3 linked regions of the Tribolium castaneum genome follow. The protein of the gene in region 2 purifies or fractionates together with the protein of the main gene of each other region. This does not show direct contact. Links are inferred from orthologs where the notes say so. Each region holds a gene or a part of one and is shown on either strand. Other genes may lie near its edges.

Region 1 (5,593 bases), on a different chromosome or scaffold from region 2:
AAAGTTTTTCTAAGTAAAAAATATTAAATAAGCATCGTAAATGTGCTATCGTCAGTTTTTTAAGAAAAATGTATTTGAAGGAGATATCCTCCGACTTTCATTACGTTAACTAACATTTGATGAAAGCTAAATGTCAATTGGAGCATACATTATTTCTAATAAAATAGGTCAAGGAAAACAACAGGGTGCATTTTTTTATTCTAATAAGAATTATTTCAATAATTTATTTTATCAGTGACATACCATGTAATACAAGATCGTAAGACATGTTACAAAAAATATTATATCCCAAATACCTACAAGGTTCTGCTTATTTTTCGCCCCATAATTGTGTAATAATATGATTAGGGACAGTTATAAAACTTACGCATTCATAATACAAACATGTGTGTCTACAAAAACGTTATGTAGGGGATAATTAATTGACGAAAAATTTATTTCTCCCTTCCTTCACAGGTGCGGGTGATATCTCACCAAGCTGTGTTCAATACAAACGCATACATAATGCTGTACGAATTAGAGTCATCTCCATTTACCAAATCAAATAACGGGACAAACAACAAGATAAAACCTCCGCTTTCTCCCGAAGCAAATACTAGCAACAACACATCAAAAGCTTCACTGAACGGTATCGGTTTTACGAGCGACAAAGTCTACGGCCCCGAACTGCCCCCCGACCGAGTAGAAAAGAAAATCAACGGTGTTAACCCCACACCGGTCACTAACGGTAACGGAAATCACTCAGAGAGTTCCGGAACGAGCGACAGCGAACCGGAAAATCCGCAAAAAAGTCCACAAAAAGAAAACAAACCGGTGGCGACACCTCCGCTTCCCCCGAAAAAATCAATGCCTAGCATAAATAACGAGGAAACCGCCAAATCACCACTAATGCAAAAGAATCGGACGTTATCGCCACGCAATACTAATAGTACAACACCGATTAGTTCAACAAATGCGGAAAAGAAAGGGTCATTTCAGCCGGTTACTACGAAATTGGTTCCGTATGAGACGGACGATTCGAGTTGTTCCGACGAATCGAATCAGTCGCCACAGGATGTGGAGTATAGAGTTTCTACGAAGGCGGCAGTGGGCGATTGGAAGGTTACTTCAACTGAACCAACGACGCAGAGTAAAAGTTGGGGAGAGAAAAAACAAGATGGGACTGTTAGCGAATTGTTCAAAATGTCCCACAGTGGGTATTCGGCACCTGTTTCCTCGTGGAACGGTACTAGGTCTCAGCTAGATAAGGAAATTAGCAACGAAAGGAGAGAAGACAGAAAGAGAGCTTTGAGTGATAATTCGGACCAAGGCAAAGTCAAACATCAAAAACTGAATAACTCCTACAAGTCTAATCCTGGTTACAATCCCGTACAAGTGAGTAATTTGTTAGTTCCGATAATAGCTTCTTTATATTTTTTGAAAAGCTATTAAATATATTAAAAAATATTTTGCAAATTTAAAAATAGTTTCCTAAACTTCTTGGATAAAAATATAGAAAATTGAGTGATTTTAGCTGTCGTTTCGTATTCAAATATTTGTATGAATTGTTGTATATCGTATTTTTGTTTCAGGAATTTCACAACACTAAGAACTGGAGTCAGAACAACGGTTACAAGCCGTTTTATTCGGGCAACCGGCACCGTCGTAATTTCCACCACAAAAGCTTTCATAAAAATTACCGCTTTAGGCAGTGATTAATTTTAAGGTTGAATATTTTTACATAGGCAATTGAACTTGTATAATTGTGCATATTATGTCACCATTGTTTAGCATAACTGAATTTGTGAATTTATAATGTAAGTATTTATATTTTTAAACAAACTATAATTCCTAATTTTGATTGAAAAACCGATGTAATAAAGTAGCGATAGTATAATTAACAATGAAATCTTTTAGGAAGTGGTATTTGTTTCATTTTTTTGAGCTTAATGTTCACAGTGCATTTAAAATACTGTATTTTTTCTATTTCTTTTCCTATTTGTACAAAGATTTATTTACCATTAAGCATAAAGATATTAAACTTTTACCATATATTACTTTAATGTTTATTAACTTCTTGAAATTGACGAATGTTTTGAATTTTATGATGCAACTTTGAAATTTTAAACAATGGTAATAGTCAAACCTACACTATGTGTACTCATGTTGTAGCAATGCAACCATGTATCTGTTCTAGAACAAAACTTTGGAAATAAAATTTTTATATTAATAGAAAATTTTATTGCAACATTAATTACAATCAGCTACTTGTTCTTGACTACAAAGTGACAATAAATTATACTTTTTGTGCTTAAGATAGTCAGGTATAACACTTAAAAACGCAAACCCCTTTATCACTTCAACAATAATAGCCACTTTTGCCTCTTTAAGATCAACTTTATGATCAGGCCTCAGCTCGGACACTTTCGCTGCAATTAATTTTATGACTTCATCCCGCGAAACAACATTATTATTCCGGTGGTTGAAGATCACACAAAACGTTTGCGGGGACTCCACAAAGTGTTTCTGGGCGAGGGGCACAAATGCGTTGACAATATCACTCACATTCGCCTTGCACGTAATTTCCACAGGAATCAGTCTCAGCAAAAATTTCGTTCTTTGGGTCTTACTCCCATCAACATCTTTTATAATCGCCTCTGCTAGCTCAACCGGATTCTCCAAACTCGTCCTAATGAATAGGAAATTTTTGGCACCAGATTCTATAACCTGGAATCGTTTTTCACTCTTGTCTTGCTTCAGTTCGGATATTTCTTTAGCCAACGAGTCGTCAATGTCTTGCTCAGCTTCAGGTTCGTTGCTCTCTTGGTACAATTTGTCAGCATATTCGTTTAGTAAATTGTAAGATTCCTTAATGCAGTCCTTTTCCCTGTTGTTACAACTGCAGAGGAAGCCCCGCAAGTTCACGTCCAAGCTCAGTCTTTTGTTGGAAGTTTTTTTAAAGTAGTATTTTTTGGATTTTTGTTTGGAAACAACTGGCTTACTCATGACTACGACCCCTACAAAACTATGTTGTAATATACAATTCACCAAATAAATCGATATGTGACCACTGTTCTTTGTTAATAACACGTATTAATCCAATATTTTTTTATTTGTAAGCATAAAAAGTTAAAATAAATACGCACTTAAAAATTAGGTTAGCTGAAACATCACGCCTGACCAACCTAACAGACAAAACTTCCTAAATTTTTTGTTTCTGTGTCAGACATTTTGTTGATGGGTGACATTTGTCACATATGATTTTACAATTTATAAATAAATCGCAGTGCTAAAATCCGTGCAAATTGTGATGGGTCGTTACTGTTAAAATGGGCTTTGATATTAATAGGTTTCAAGGAGATGTAGATGAGGAATTGGTGTGCCCCATTTGTTCGGGAGTACTGGAGGACCCCTTGCAGGTGTGTTTACTTATTTTTTTAATGGAAAAAGTCTTACTGGTTTTGCAGGCACCTGTGTGCGAGCATGCATTTTGCAAGTCCTGCATAACCGAATGGATCACAAGACAGCCCACATGCCCCGTGGACCGACAAAGTGTCACATCAGCGCAACTGCGCCCAGTGCCCCGAATTTTACGAAACTTGCTTTCTAGGTAATCAAAAAGTCTGAAATGAAACCGTTCGATTCAATATTTTGTTCCAGACTGTGTATAAATTGTGATAACGCTCAGTATGGCTGTACGCGTGTATTAAAATTAGACTCTCTCTCGAACCACCTTGAAGAATGCGAACATAATCCTAAGAGACCTTTACCGTGTGAGAAGGGCTGTGGTTTAGTGATTCCTAAAGATGAGTTGAAAGACCACAATTGCGTGAAAGAACTGCGAGCGCTGATACAGACCCAGCAGCAGAAAATGAACGACTTCCAGCAGGAAATCACCGAGCAGCGCTTCCTAATCAACGAGCAAAAGCGCGAAATGCAGCTGCTGAAGGAGTTCATGAGGGCCATGAGGATATCGAACCCTTCAATGAGGGCAATAGCTGATGCAATGGAGAGAGATGAAGTCTTAAGGTGGAGCAACTTTCTCCAAAGGGCGCGAGTCACCCGATGGGGAGGGATGATCTCGACACCAGATGAAGTTCTTCAAGTAGGTTCAATCAACAAGTGGCGAAATTTTCATAATTTCCTTCCAGAGAATGATTAGAAGGACGTTAACTGAGATGGGGTGCCCCAACCACATATTAGACGATCTAATGGAAAATTGTCACGAGAGGAGGTGGCCCCCCGGCTTGAGCTCGCTGGAGACCAGGCAAAACAATAGGAGACAATACGAAAACTATGTTTGTAAAAGAGTACCGGGCAAGCAGGCTGTGCTGGTACTGGCGTGCGACAATACGCATATGGGCGAAGACATGATGGTAGAGCCAGGTTTAGTTATGATTTTTGCTCACGGTATAGAGTAACCCTCTTTGTTTTTATTTTTTTTAATTACATTCCTTTTAAATACATTAATTTACATTAAGTTTAATCATAATCTTTCTCACTGCTTTATTATAAAATCTGGGGTCTGTAAGTGCCACAAATTGTTCCGTTCTGGTGGTGATGCAGTCAATTTTATCAATTAGAATTCGTAAAATTAGAAAATTGACAGGAAGTGCACTAATGATACAGGATTATTCAGCTTGAACAAATTAACTGTTTTGTAACTTACTGCAATGTGCCATTATTCATGAACCAAAAGTAAATTAAGGCTGTGGTCTACTTTATTAAAACATTTTCACCCGTTTACGTATAAATAGCTTTAATGGGTCATTTAAACACCGGTAAAAATGAAACTAATTCGCCGCTTGAGGGGCTTTAAACGTCGTTTGTAGAAAATTTAATTCTCTTCAACTGTTTTTGTTACGTTTTTCTTGTGTTTTTGATTGTATTCGCATGTAAATTATAAATTTAATAAATTATTCATGCACTTTAAAAAATAATAATAATGTAATTTATACTTTCAATGAGAGATCTAACCATTAATAATTATTGACTGTGTCTAAACTCCCGGGAGCGTCACGAATATTGAAAGTGACGTCATCAACGACCAGGATTTTTAATTGTTTTATTGATTTTTTGTATTTTACACATAATTTTTGTTGTAAATATTATAGCAATCCTTAAATTTTCCAATTGGAGGAGAAGCCAATCAGTCAAGTCTTTAATAACGATTGCAAGGCCAAATTTAAAAAATACTTACATTTTATTTTTTATTACACAAAAAGTTTGTGTCTTCGAGCATCATATATATATGATGAGTGCCTATAATAATAGGGAGAATTTTTTTGCAGACCAGTGTTATTGAACTTACTTTTTGCAATCAAGAAATTATTATAAACGTTGACTGCATCATCAATTTTGTTCCAGAACGTGTTCATTTGTCGATTTTATAATGCGTAAAGTCATCAATAATTCCTGCCGCCAGGATAATTGATTACTTTTGCATTTTCAAAGAATTTGCTGTTAATATTGATTTTTCAACAATAACGGAAACGCTGACGCAGACTTGAATGTTGGTGGATGTGCGGTTTTCCCGTTTTGTTTCGTTTTAGTTATGTATAGTTTAATGATCTGACATTTGATCTCAAAAATTCACAACAAAGTCGTTCCTACA
Region 2 (6,889 bases):
TACATGAGGAAATCGCCAGGGCGATCGAGTCGAATAGTCATGTGATCACGACGCAGTGGCATCATCTTTAGAGATTATGAAATTGTGATTTTTTTAAATACTAACGATGAAATATTTGTTGCCTTTTGTCTAATTTTACTAATTTATTTTGTTGGAATTTATTACAGTACTTATGGAAAATTACAAGCTCTCTTAAGGCCCACCCAACACGAAAAACACTGTTGTATAATTTTAGTAGGAAATTTAATATTTATAATAGGACAGTAAAAAAGAGTTGTATAATATTATGTGTAATACAAATTAATTAAAAAGATACAATTTTCATTCAAAATAAATATATTACCCACAGGTTTTTCTTACAAAATTATTTAACAGCACCCCCATGATTTTTTAGGCTCTGCAACAGTATCGATTACGATATTGTTAGTAACAGGTAGAAAAGGCTTCTGATTTTTTAGTTTGTGAGCCAGAGTTAAAAAAATCGCTTCTATGTTATCACATTGAGAATCGAGTCTTGCAGACGTTTCAAATAACTAAAAAAAATATTCTTTATTAGCTCTAGAACGGTAAGGTTGCGTCTATTACCGGCATGTTGTACTGATCTGCAAACCTCTGCGCTACGTTTGTGGTAACGGCAGCCACGCCATCACACTTATTCCCCACTAAAATTCTCGGTATGTCGTGGAGACAATTCCTGTTACATTCATCAACCCATTTTTTCAATGAATCAAAACTAGCGGCATTCGTGACGTCGTAAACTAGAACTATCGCGTGCGTATTTCTATAGTAGTGTTTCACCATTGACGATCTAAATCTCTCTTGACCCGCAGTGTCCCATAATTGCAACTAAGTAGAGTATAAAATGTTACTTAGAGTATAAAATGTTACTTCTGGGCCAGAACATTCGGCGTCTTAAAAAACAAGTCAGAACCTTACAAATTTAGCTGTTTGCCCAAAAGCAAACAACCGAATAGGGCCTAAAACCTCTCAAAAATCATTAATTTTTATCCACTCCAAAAGTTCCCAAATATATGTAGGCCACCAAAAATTGGGCACACGTAAAACAGGGTAAAATCCTACAAATACACTCTAAAAAACTAACAAAATACCTTGTTTTTACACACCCCAAAATGGCTTTTTACTTTATATGTTCTACAGTATTAATAAAAATCAATAAATTCATGTTTAATATCGACACCAAACGATACGATCGAACAAATACGACTTCGCAAACCAAGTGTTTTTATGTTCTTCTGTTCTGAGAATTGGACACTTTATAGCAGTTTTTAGTCTCTCTAAAAACTCTATCGCAGATTTTTCAGATGAATGGAGCCAATCCGGTTGTATCTTGTCAAAAATTATCAGCTCAAGTGTTCTCCCAGCTTCTAGGTTCACACTTGGAAATACAAGGTCTTGTTGCCTTCCAGCAACATTTGCGAATGGAGTTGACCAGTTAAAGTCTCCATCTATCATCCGCCCCAAATATTGGGCACACTCGTGTGCTGCGAGTGTTACTGCATCAGCTTTAAAGGCCCTATTCGCTTGTTTGTTTTTGGGCAAACAGCTAAATTTGTAAGGTTCTGACTTGTTTTTTAAGACGCCAAATGTTCTGGCCCAGAAGTAACATTTTATACTCTACTCAACTAATAATTGAAATATTAAAAAATATTTTTCCGGAATGATTCTTACAGTTATCTCTTCCCCATCTAATGTTAAGTTTCTGCTCCTAAAATCTACTCCGATTGTGGCCTCCGACTGTTCCAAAAAAGCCCCTTCACAGAATCTATAAGTCAGTGAGGTTTTACCCACATTTGAGTCCCCAATGACAATAATCTTAAATATCTTCTTGTAGTTTGTTGTTTTGTTAATCGTGGGGGCTTCATTAGCATTCGTTGGTGCAGTGTTTTCCATTTTTACTCCATTCAGATAATTCTTTAATCGCTATATGATAAAAAATTACGTAGTTGAAACAACAATAATAAAAATTGATTTACCTCAAATGAGTCACTTGATTACATCAAATGTACTTTTCCAGGTCATTAGAAAGTATAAATCATGTTGATTAATTGTTTTTTGTGTAAAAAATAGGGTTTAAAAAAATATTCTGACGTCTACTTGACAATCAGCTGCTTGACATTACAGTTACGAAACCCAAATTCCCTAAAAAACTGCTAACCACACTTTTGTTGTGGTTGCTTAACCTCAAAAAAACGTGTTAATTTGAAAAATGGTGCGTAAAAAAATTGATAATAGGATTCGAGTGTTGATCGAAAATGGTGTCAAGCTGGGGCACCGGACTTTGTTTGCCATAGTTGGTGATAAAGGCCGGGATCAGGTATTTAAAATTTGCATGTCTCCCCCGGTTCATTGCGTTTTTTAGGTGGTGATTCTCCACCACATGCTTGCAAAAGCCGAAGTTAAGGCCCGCCCATCTGTTCTGTGGTGTTACAAAAAAGAGTTAGGCTTCAGTAGCCACCGAAAAAAGCGCATGAAACAGCTCCAACATAAAATACAAACGGGCAAACTTAGCGTCAATGAGGACGACCCCTTTGAACTTTTCCTCTCCTCTACGAAAATCCGCTACTGTTACTACTCCGAAACCCACAAAATTTTGGGCAACACGTTCGGCATGTGCGTCCTGCAGGACTTCGAAGCCTTGACCCCCAACCTCCTAGCCCGGACTATTGAAACGGTAGAAGGGGGCGGCTTGGTTGTTATTTTACTGCGCTCGGTGGCGTCTTTAAAACAGTTGTACACCATGAGCATGGACGTCCACCAGCGCTTCCGGACGGAAGCCCACCAAGACATAGTCTGCCGCTTCAACGAACGTTTCCTCCTGTCTCTAGCCTCCTGCAAACGCTGTCTTGTGGTCGACGACCAACTTTCCGTCCTCCCAATCTCCTCACACAACCTCCACGTGACCCCGGTCGAGCCCTCGCAAGAGCCCTTGCCTTCGGAAAGCGAACTAACCGACCTCAAAAACCAGCTCAGAGACACCCAACCAGTCGGTAATTTAATCAACTGTTGCAAAACCCTGGACCAGGGTAAGGCGCTTTTGAAGTTCATTGAAGCCATTTCGGAAAAGACACTTCGCTCGACGGTGTCTCTGACTGCGGCAAGGGGGCGCGGGAAATCGGCCGCGTTGGGGCTGTCGGTGGCCGCAGCCGTGGCCTTCGGATACTCGAATATTTTCGTAACGAGTCCGAGTCCGGAGAATTTAAACACGTTTTTCGAATTTGTTTTTAAAGGATTTGACGCGCTTGAATATCAGGAACATATAGACTATAGTCTAGTGCAAAGCACGAACCCCGAGTTTAATAAGGCCATAGTTCGGGTGAATATTTTCAGGGACCACAGGCAAACTATTCAAGTGAGATAAAGCCCTAATTGTTAGAAAAATCCGATTTTTGGTTTTTTAGTACATTCAGCCGACTGATAGTCAAAGATTGAGTCAAGCCGAACTTTTAGTAATTGACGAAGCAGCTGCGATTCCTCTCCCGTATGTGAAATCAATGCTAGGGCCGTATTTAGTGTTTTTAGCCTCAACTATCAATGGTTACGAGGGCACCGGTCGCTCCTTATCTTTAAAATTATTGCAACAGTTGCGAATTCAGGCGGTTCCAGTGGGTGCCAACACCAATGCCGCAAATAAGAAGGACTCGGGGGCTGCCACTGGTCGCACCCTTCACGAGGTATTAGCTTTCAAAGTCGCACGTATATTTTTTATTTGATTGTTTAGGTCACTTTGGACGAATCAATTCGGTACAAACCCGGCGATGATGTGGAGGCGTGGCTCACTAAGCTCTTATGTCTCGACGCCACTTCCGTGGCCCCCATCTTGTCAGGGTGCCCTCCGCCCGACTCCTGCGATTTGTATTACATAAACCGCGACACCCTTTTTTGTTATCACAAAGCATCAGAGGAGTTTTTGCAACGTCTGGTCGCCTTATACGTCGCCTCGCATTATAAAAACACTCCGAATGACCTTCAAATGATGTCGGACGCCCCCGCACATCATTTGTTTTGTCTCTTGGGCCCCGTTGACCCCAACCGGAAGACCCTCCCGGAGGTGCTAGTCATAATCCAGGTGTGCCTTGAAGGCGAAATATCAAGATCCTCCGTTGTTGAGGGTTTTTCCCGGGGGAAGAGAGCCTCCGGGGATTTGATCCCGTGGACGGTGGGCCAGCAGTACCAAGACCCGGACTTTCCGCGCCTTTCCGGCGCCCGGATTGTCCGGATCGCCACGCATCCGGACTACCAGGGGATGGGTTATGGGGCGAAAGCCCTCAATTTACTCAAACAATACTACGAGTTTAAAATCCCGAGTACCGACGAATTTGAGGATGTGGTGGAGGAGATTAGTAATGTCCGGGAGGAGGAGGTCGGCCTTTTGGAGGAAACAATTGAACCAAGGAAAAGCCTCCCCCCTCTGTTAATCAAATTGAGTGACCGCAAACCAGAAAAACTGGATTATCTGGGGGTTTCCTACGGTTTAACCGAACAGTTGCTGAAGTTTTGGAAGCGGGCTGGGTACGTCCCTGTTTATTTGAGACAAACGACGAACGATTTAACAGGGGAGCATTCGTGTATTATGTTGAACGTTCTTAACGATGAGGATGGGAGTAACGATTGGTTGATGGCGTATTGGAGCGATTTCAGGAGACGTTTCGTTAATCTTTTAGGCTACCAGTTTAGCAAATTTTCGCCAAGTCTAGCCTTGGGCGTTTTGACAAATAAGACGCGAAAAATCACGTCTAAAAGTTTGTCCAGGGCCGAATTGGAAATACATTTGACCAGTTACGACATAAAACGGCTGGAAATGTACAGTAATAATTTAGTTGATTACCATTTAATCATCGACTTGTTGCCGACTTTGGCAAAACTGTATTTCCTGAACCAGATGGGCGATGTTCAAATGTCGGCAGTGCAATCAGTACAACTCTCAATATTTAATTTTTTCTTTATAACAAATGAATTTTAGGCAATTTTGTTGGGTGTGGGGCTCCAGTACAAGACAGTTGACACGCTCGCAGCCGAGCTCGATTTGCCCTCATCTCAGCTTTTGGGCCTTTTTAACCGAATGATTAGACGAATCGTTCAGTATTTAAATTCAGTCCTTGAGCAAGACATTGAAAAGTCTTTGGCCCCCCGAAAGGACGTCGAACTGACTCCAGTCGCGAAATCAATGCAACAGGAACTAGACGAAGCGGCGCAAGAATTACAAAAAAAGCAAAAAAAGGAGTTAGAGAAATTGAAAAATGAGTCTTTAACCCAATTCGCGATTAAGGGGTCTGAGGAAGAGTGGGGCAAAGTCTTGACGGGAAAAAGCAAAAAAAATATTATCACAATTAAAAGGTTCGCGATTTTTTAATTGTTACATTAGTGTTGTTTAGTGACTAGTTTGTAGTGGCGAGAAACGGCTACATGAGAGTAATACCGACGAAGTGAAAGAGGACCCAATCAAGAAGAAGAAGAATAAAAACAAGAAGCGGAAAAATAACTGATTTTATTAAAAAATAAAAATGTGTTATACTTGTGTAACTGAATACACTTCGTTATCTAATGTATCGTACAAGACAAAATAAACGTTGTAACACGAGAGAAACAGTCCGTTTTGTGTTACTTTCACAATTCCTTTGTAAGTCCCTGATAAAAGCGACGTTGGCAGCACTGAAACGTCAAGTGACGGCAAAATCGTGTAATTCCCCTTGACAATCGGGCATCTACATGGCACACTATTCTTTATGAAAACTTCCGGGCAAGTTTGGCCAACCGGAAATCCGTAATCACACAAATTGTTATAAGTACAGGACCCTAAACCATTCTCACAAGGGATTGGTATCCACACCCCCCAAATATCACGTTCTATCCATAAGGACGCCTAAAATAATGTGTCAAAGATGGACGCCTAACTGGGGGAAGTACCTTAATCGGGCCTACAAGGTCAATTGTGGAACTCAGGCTCCCAGTGACCTTAATTTTGGATTTTGAACCCATTTCAAGTGTGACATTAGCTACGGTCACAGGGTAATCTCTACTTGAACATTTTGAAATTTTCAAGTCTTTTATCAGCATGGAATTCTAAAAAATCATTTATTGATTTATGACTGCAGATAAATACGTACATAACTCGTTTCTGTCCTTATTAAAAATGGTTGTAGCCATAATAATACAAAGATCAAGTTTAAATGGCCCATAATTATCACAAAATTCACAGAACTGCGCAAATTAATGCACTGGAAAAAATTAACTCGTCGGTCTTAAGAAGTAGTCATAGAATAAGAGAGAGGGTCATATGGAGTCATCACGTGATTGCCTTTGTATTCATTTGTTTATAAATGGCGCCCGAATCTCGGTTTCCTATTGGCCAGGAATTAGCGCAACCTTTAAGCACAACACAGTTTGAGCAACACGTGGTTGTTACTAAGATGAGTTCGTTTAACGAGAAATTAAAATTATTTTCTGTTGAATTGTTCCGAATAAATGCCATTAAGTTCGGTGATTTTAAAACTAAAGTTGGGCTCCAAACCCCCGTCTATGTCGATTTGAGGGTAATCGTGAGTTACCCTAAATTACTGGCAAGTACCTTAATAATTGTACAAATGTTTATAATTAATTTAATTTTGATTTAGAACGACCTTGCCGATTTAATTCTCGAGTACCAGAAACAGTTACCCAAATTTAACATTATTTGTGGGGTCCCTTACACCGCTTTACCGATAGCCACCGTAGTTTCGGTAAAAAGTGATATTCCTATGGTAATGAGGAGGAAGGAAGCGAAAGATTACGGAACGAAAAAACTGATTGAAGGTCAATTTAACGAAGGCGATAAATGTTTAATTATCGAGGATGTCGTTACATCCGGGAGCAGTATTTTAGAAACAGTCCG
Region 3 (6,179 bases), on a different chromosome or scaffold from region 2:
TATGTTGCAGCAAAGTTTTGCGGACATTTCACTCAATCATAAAGTGCAATATAATCCCTTCAACTCACTGTTTGTCCTTTTATTAGCTTTAGCTTAAATTATTACACTGAATAGCGGGTATAAAGTTGTGTTGTTTAAAGCATGTGTAATTTCAATAAACGGAAAAGCAAGGTTTCATAATAAGTACAAAGTAGGTATTCGGATTCGGCCACAACAAATATTTGTAGCAGCCCGAAAACAATGCTTTGTGGAGCATAAATGATTGCGAATTAAAACTTCAAACTTCAATTAGGTATAGTCGAATATGATTTATCAAATGTTCTGGAACATTGTTAAAGCGCGTCCCCACGGATCGATATTATTTGTTCCATTAAAGTTGATCCACCAAACTTGAATGAAAATCATCTTAAGTCATCTTGTCTTTCCAAGATAAGTGTCCACAAGTTATCTGTCGCCGTTACATATTTTATGTCCTTTTTGTGTATTCTTTGTTAACTGGGTCCATCAGTAGCGCGCAATAATTAATAATTTATTTGTCCGTCTAGGTTGGAGGACACATGTTTTTTTTAAACTGGTTCTTATGCAGAAATTTCTGCTGATTTCAAATCCAAAGTTATATCTTCATCATAAAAAAGACGCTTTTGTGAAAATTTTTGAAAAACTTAAAATTGGTGTTTATATCGTCATGTCTTCCTTCTGTATAAAGCTAGAAACTTATTTTTTTGCAAAAGATTCCTCAATTAATGTGGATTCTAACGAACAGACACAAGTGTTAGTTTGGGCAAAAGAAAACTGAGATGAAATGAAGCTAATAGACTAAATATGTTTTTGGTGCAAGAATCATTTCGATATCTTGAAAACTCACCAAGTTATTGCAATTTTTTCAAAACGTGCCTCAAAAACGTCTTTTTTAATATGAAGGCAGTTCCAAATCAAAAGATTAACTTCGTATTCGAATTCACCAGAAAATTTTGCATAAAAATGAATGTTCAGTAGACGAGTCCGTTTTTGTGGTGTGTGATCCTCGACAAAAATCAACAAATTAATATGAATGTACGACACTGAATTGAAGCGAGCGCATAATAGAAAGATTGCCGATGTCATAGGCCAGTACCGCTAATTCGTTTTAAGAGTTTTACAAGTAAACGATAGAAAATTTCAAGTTAAAATAAGTACCTCTTTATTTCTAAGAGACTACTACAGGGCCAAAAGTATTTCATTTTCTCTTTAACACTCATTATTGAAGCAAAACAATTTTCAAAAAACACAATTATTTCAGTTTTTATGATGAATTAAATAAAGCACTGATAGCATTTTTAAACATTTTCTCCCTTACATTCCTAGTAGAAGAATGTGTCAAGTAAATAACTGTAATAAAATAAACGTTACTTGCAACGGCTGTAAAACAACGAGTAAAATACCTGAATTCGACTTTCTTAAAATCTTGGTGTACTTAGTTAAAATAAAGTTTCTCACGATGATTTTCATTCAATTTTTGTTGATCAGCTTAAACTGAACAATTAAAATCGATCCGTGAGAACGCGTCTTTATATAAAATGCAAAATGGGAACTCACAGAGATCACACAACTTTATCATTAATGAAATAATTGAAAAAAATCGGTGACTGCGCTAACAAATTCCATGCAAAAAAATGCTTTAAAATAAGACATCATTTGTGTAGAGTAGTTATGTAAGCCAATAGGTACTTAAAAAAATTAACTAAAGTCTTAACAAAAACGAATTAGATAAGAGACAAAGCTTTTTGTTCGCACCTTTGCAGTAATTGGTTATTTAAGCACAATTATTAATGATGTGCCGTTTATTTTTTTTCAGATTGTCACTTGCTTGTTATCACAACCGGTCGTCTCATAAATTTTTGAAATAAAAGAAAAAGCAGCTTATTAGCCATTCCATTTTAACGTGCGGGACACTGCCCCAATTTTAGATTTTTTTTCAAAATTTATCAACAGAATCAGGGAAGTGACTTTTCCTTTATAGGAGCTTTGTATCAGTCAAACTATTTGCAAACTTCAGTGGGAGCGACATATGTAAAATTTCAAATACGAGCAGGAAAAAGAAATACATGACGGATGAGACACAAAAAAAAACCTCATATGTTATAGTTATAAAATTATGTTAATTTAAAAGGTAAATTCCAACAATTATTTTTAAAGTAAAAGGTGGAACTACGAAAGCGAAGAACAAAGGCAGTGTGCAACGACTGCGTATAATGCTATTATCAAGCTTGCACCCATTATAATATAAGAATTATTTCAAAACAATGAGTCGGAGGTTGTGTTTTTTATAAAAAATCTCTTTATGTAAGGGGGATAATGAGTAATGACTCAATAAAAACAAGGATTTATAAAACAATTTATTTTATAAATTAGATGCAGTTTTATTTTTGCCAAAGAGCGAGCTATACAACTCATTTTTCGCGTCATCTGTCCATAAATTCCCATCAATGGGCGCCATAAAATTAACCAGTTTGCTGTGTACAGCATATCGTATTTTGCGTCCCTTTGTAGCTCTTGTGTCGATTTTTCGCTTCATTTTGCTCCTTAGATTCTGTAACTGAATCCACTGGCGACTTAACTGCACTGGATCGCTGACGTCGGCTGACTTGACTTCAATTAGTTCGCGCAAAAGCTGATGGTAGAAATCGTCGTCATCAAAAATCTCGCTATTGTACTCCTCACTGTTTCTATCTTCTGTTTCTTCTTCACCTAGGATGGAGTACTGGGAACGCTTGAGTTGCGTTTTCTTGATAAGCTTATCTTTGTTACTCAAATTGTATTCAATCTGGTCTAGAACTGAGTGCGAAGTGGTGCCCCCTTTGACCACAACGCGCGTTTTGTCGTTCCATTTCTGTATGATGTTGTTTCTGTAATCTTTGTATTTTTTGTGTTTTTCGAAAATTTCGCTTTCGTAATATTCTAATTTTCGTTTCTTCTTGGGAGTATCGCTTACAATTTCTTCTTCGCCGCCTGATTCTTCAACATCTGTATCACTTGGAATTTCTTCATCATCAGGATCTTCAACTTTTTCACTTTGAGCGCTTGTCTGATCCAAATTTTTTGTTTCAGGATACTGTTTATACAGCAATTTTTGTAACAATAGTAGTTTATCTAAGACATCACATAATTTGTTTTTTGTCTCATTAACTTTATTGGAAAAATCGGGATCAGATTGTTTGATTTCTTTAAACTTCTCGGGTTGTGGCATTTTATTGGCAGTCAAGAGACATTTTTGGAGTTGGATTCGTACTTCTAGGAGGTTTTCCCACATTGCCATTTGGTTTCTCACACAAAGCCCTTTTTTAATTTGTTTTGAAACATTCGTGTCCGAAATGTGTTTGAAATTCTCTTCAGTGTTATCATTTTCCGACAACTCCCCATCATCTTCTGATAAATCTTCTGCAAAAATAAAATTTTAACGTTTGTCCTGCCAAAAAAAAAGAAACCAAGCAGACCATTTGATTCTGGACCTTCAGAGTCTTCTTGAGACGATTCTTCTTCCACGTCCTCGCTCTCGCTCGCACTGCCTTTTGTTTCAGTTTCTTCTTCTTCTTCTTCCTTATCGTCCAAACTTCCCAGCGATGCGTCTGTAAAGTAACTTTTGAGCACAAGAATTTTAAAACCAAACATTTGTAACAAACCCTCTGAATCGGAATCCCTCAAATTCTTCCGACTGGTCTTTTTTCCGGCATACTTCTCATCTAAATCAGCTAACAGGTCAATGTTTTTTTGACGAAATTTGCTCAAAATTTCATCTTCTTGTTCGTTTTCTTCAACATCGTCTTCCACAACTTTTGCAACCGTGGCGTCATCAACCTCATCTTCAGGGTCAATACTCGAAGGGGCGGTATTCAAAATACCTGCTATCTTATCAGCTAAAGTTCCAGTCGATTTCTTTTTCATTTTAGGAGAAATTAAAACCAGACACGTTTTTATATTTGGAGGTTATATTATTCTGTCACGATTCCGTCACTACACTCTTTTCTAAGGCACATGAAAGCTATTAAGTTCGAAACCAAAATTATGCGATCCACACACAAAATAACTAATCGTAGCTTATCACAAACAAGTGATGGCATTACGTTAGCTGCAATTTTGAAATTTGTACATGTACAAAGTAAAAATAAACTATTGTTAAAAAAAAATTGAATATTTCGACCAGACACTCATGCGGACACATATGGCAAGGTTCTGACAGGTGACAGTTGTTTAACCTAATTTTTTTCAAACAAGACGATGAGCGTAAGTTATAAACAAACTTTATTTCATTTCTATTTAAATAATTTAGGACTCTTCGGACACTTCATGGTCCCGTTTTGCCAAATATTACGACCCGATAAAAATTGGTTCCATCGACGGCACCGACACGGAGCCCCACGACAAAGGCATCGTCCGAGCCCTAAATTCCGAATACCACCCCAACCGCCACGTTAAAGGCCGTCCCGAGTGCACAATTTTCGTCAGCCGTCTTAGTCTCAAAACCACAAAAGACACAATTAAGGACATTTTTTCCAAATATGGCCCTTTGCGCCGATTTCGTTTAGTTAAAGACATAGTCACAGGGATGCCCAAAGGCTACGCTTTCATCGAATACGAAAATGAGCTCGACGCTGAGGAAGCGTATTGTAAAGCGAATAAAATGAATATTGATGGAAACATAATTTTCGTAGATTTTGAATGTGAGAGGTTATTAAAGGGGTGGCGACCGAGACGACTTGGAGGCGGCTTTGGTGGGAAAAAGGAGTCCGGACAGTTGCGGTTCGGTGGCCGTGATCGACCCTTCAAAAAACCCATCAGTTTGGAGATAAAAGAGAGGCGGGAAAGGAGTAGGAGAGACAGGAGTGAAAGTAGACGTGATCGTAAATAATGTTTTATATTGAAAAGTGTTTAAACATACATATTTTAACAAAAAAAAAATAATAATAAACTAAAAAACTCTTCTTTATGTATTACTTGCAACACTACTGAACGTCTGCTAGAACAAGCGAGTTATTTGAATATCCTATGATTCACTTAATGCCTTACCAACTTTCTCAATTTCACTATCAACCGGACGGTGAATATCAGCCTCTTGTAATTCTTCTTCCTGCTCAAGTCGGTCAATAATAGCTTGACGCGAATCTGTAATTTTATTACAACTAAGAAAATTTCTAAATAAAACAAACTTACATGGCTCGGCACACAAAACAAAAACTTCCCTATTATTCAAATGGATGCAATCCTCCCTAAATTTCCTAACAATGTCATTGAAACCGTCCCAAAAGTTAACAGACCCCGCCGGTAATTTACAAACCGATTTGAATTTCTTATAAATCTCATCTGCCTTTGTCCGTACTTTCTGTGCGTCGTTGTTGAAAGTTTCAAGCTCCTCAGGTGGTAAATTCCACTCTTCTAAATTTCCTACGTATTTTCTCAACCTCCTGATCATCTCAACAACGTGAGAGTGTTTCTTTAGCATAATTTCGTCCATATTTATCTCAAGTAAACTATCCAAGAATTCCAACGCTTTCTTTGGCTCGGCTTTATTTAAGCCGAGACAATTCTTAATTTTTGCGTCAAGTTCAACCAAGCTGGACTCTGCTCTCAATCTCTCTACCCTTTTGTATTTGCTGTTGATCAGTTTCATTTCAGCATCTCGCTTTATTTCAGTTTCAGTGAGATCAAAATCATCGAGGAACGATTCAGGATTGCTCTCTGGGGTTATTTCGCCACTAGTCACTGCATCTTTGAGGAGAAGCACTCTGGAGGCTGTATCACTGTCATAAATAGCACACTCGTATTCATTTTCGAAGTGCAGCGGCCACTTCTTGTGGAGTTTAAGGCCTGCATATTTGCCGGAAGGGAGCAATACCGGAAATACTTGGTTTTCGAAGTAATGGCGTTGGTCAACAGGGCGGGCTGTAGCCGAATAATTACAACAAATCAATGATTAAATCCTACAAAACTTACATTTGTATAACTCTGGTTTTTCCTTAACTGCATCTGCCTGCAATTTGAATGGGCAATTACAGTGATGAAAGGTATTTAAGTGCCAATTGACTCACATAAATAATCCAATTTTTTAAGTTAAGCTCCGAAACTACTTTAATGTTTGGCAAAAATGGCAAATCTTCGTCCACTGCATTATTTTCGTCAGCACTCCCGAATGTCTTGTTCTCAGA

Evidence for each region.
Region 1: the proteins of l(1)G0020 (region 2) and THUMP domain-containing protein 1 homolog purify together in Homo sapiens (co-immunoprecipitation; 3 studies listed by BioGRID and IntAct, counting the BioPlex papers as one, with this or other methods). This does not show direct contact. The link is inferred for Tribolium castaneum from reciprocal best matches to the Homo sapiens genes NAT10 and THUMPD1.
Region 3: the proteins of l(1)G0020 (region 2) and protein AATF purify together in Homo sapiens (affinity purification with mass spectrometry; 3 studies listed by BioGRID and IntAct, with this or other methods). This does not show direct contact. The link is inferred for Tribolium castaneum from reciprocal best matches to the Homo sapiens genes NAT10 and AATF.

Annotation. Positions count from the first base shown.
Region 1 is NC_087394.1:31,072,156-31,077,748, forward strand, and holds THUMP domain-containing protein 1 homolog, read right to left. Parts: upstream 3,220-5,593; 5' UTR 3,126-3,219; exon of another isoform or gene 3,048-3,125; intron 2,997-3,047; 5' UTR 2,986-2,996; coding exon 2,230-2,985; 3' UTR 2,198-2,229; downstream 1-2,197. Other genes in the region: scny (ubiquitin carboxyl-terminal hydrolase 36), read left to right, coding at 457-1,374, 1,572-1,694; elgi (E3 ubiquitin-protein ligase NRDP1), read left to right, coding at 3,309-3,589, 3,640-4,084, 4,131-4,400. UniProt on the Homo sapiens protein: Functions as a tRNA-binding adapter to mediate NAT10-dependent tRNA acetylation modifying cytidine to N4-acetylcytidine (ac4C).
Region 2 is NC_087402.1:4,624,988-4,631,876, reverse strand, and holds l(1)G0020 (RNA cytidine acetyltransferase), read left to right. Parts: upstream 1-2,195; 5' UTR 2,196-2,227; coding exon 2,228-2,335; intron 2,336-2,380; coding exon 2,381-3,370; intron 3,371-3,419; coding exon 3,420-3,692; intron 3,693-3,739; coding exon 3,740-4,933; intron 4,934-4,981; coding exon 4,982-5,355; intron 5,356-5,393; coding exon of another isoform or gene 5,394-5,400; exon of another isoform or gene 5,401-5,407; coding exon 5,408-5,504; 3' UTR 5,505-5,605; downstream 5,606-6,889. Other genes in the region: Ubr1 (E3 ubiquitin-protein ligase UBR2), read left to right, coding at 1-71; ras-related protein Rab-33B, read right to left, coding at 369-533, 586-846, 1,690-1,911; r-l (uridine 5'-monophosphate synthase), read left to right, coding at 6,339-6,578, 6,633-6,889. UniProt on the Homo sapiens protein: RNA cytidine acetyltransferase that catalyzes the formation of N(4)-acetylcytidine (ac4C) modification on mRNAs, 18S rRNA and tRNAs.
Region 3 is NC_087396.1:16,777,677-16,783,855, forward strand, and holds protein AATF, read right to left. Parts: upstream 3,922-6,179; coding exon 3,660-3,921; intron 3,606-3,659; coding exon 3,474-3,605; intron 3,418-3,473; coding exon 2,381-3,417; 3' UTR 2,363-2,380; downstream 1-2,362. Other genes in the region: U11/U12 small nuclear ribonucleoprotein 35 kDa protein, read left to right, coding at 4,255-4,260, 4,307-4,885; uncharacterized protein Jasper, read right to left, coding at 4,980-4,993, 5,044-5,139, 5,188-5,916, 5,968-6,004, 6,063-6,179. UniProt on the Homo sapiens protein: Part of the small subunit (SSU) processome, first precursor of the small eukaryotic ribosomal subunit.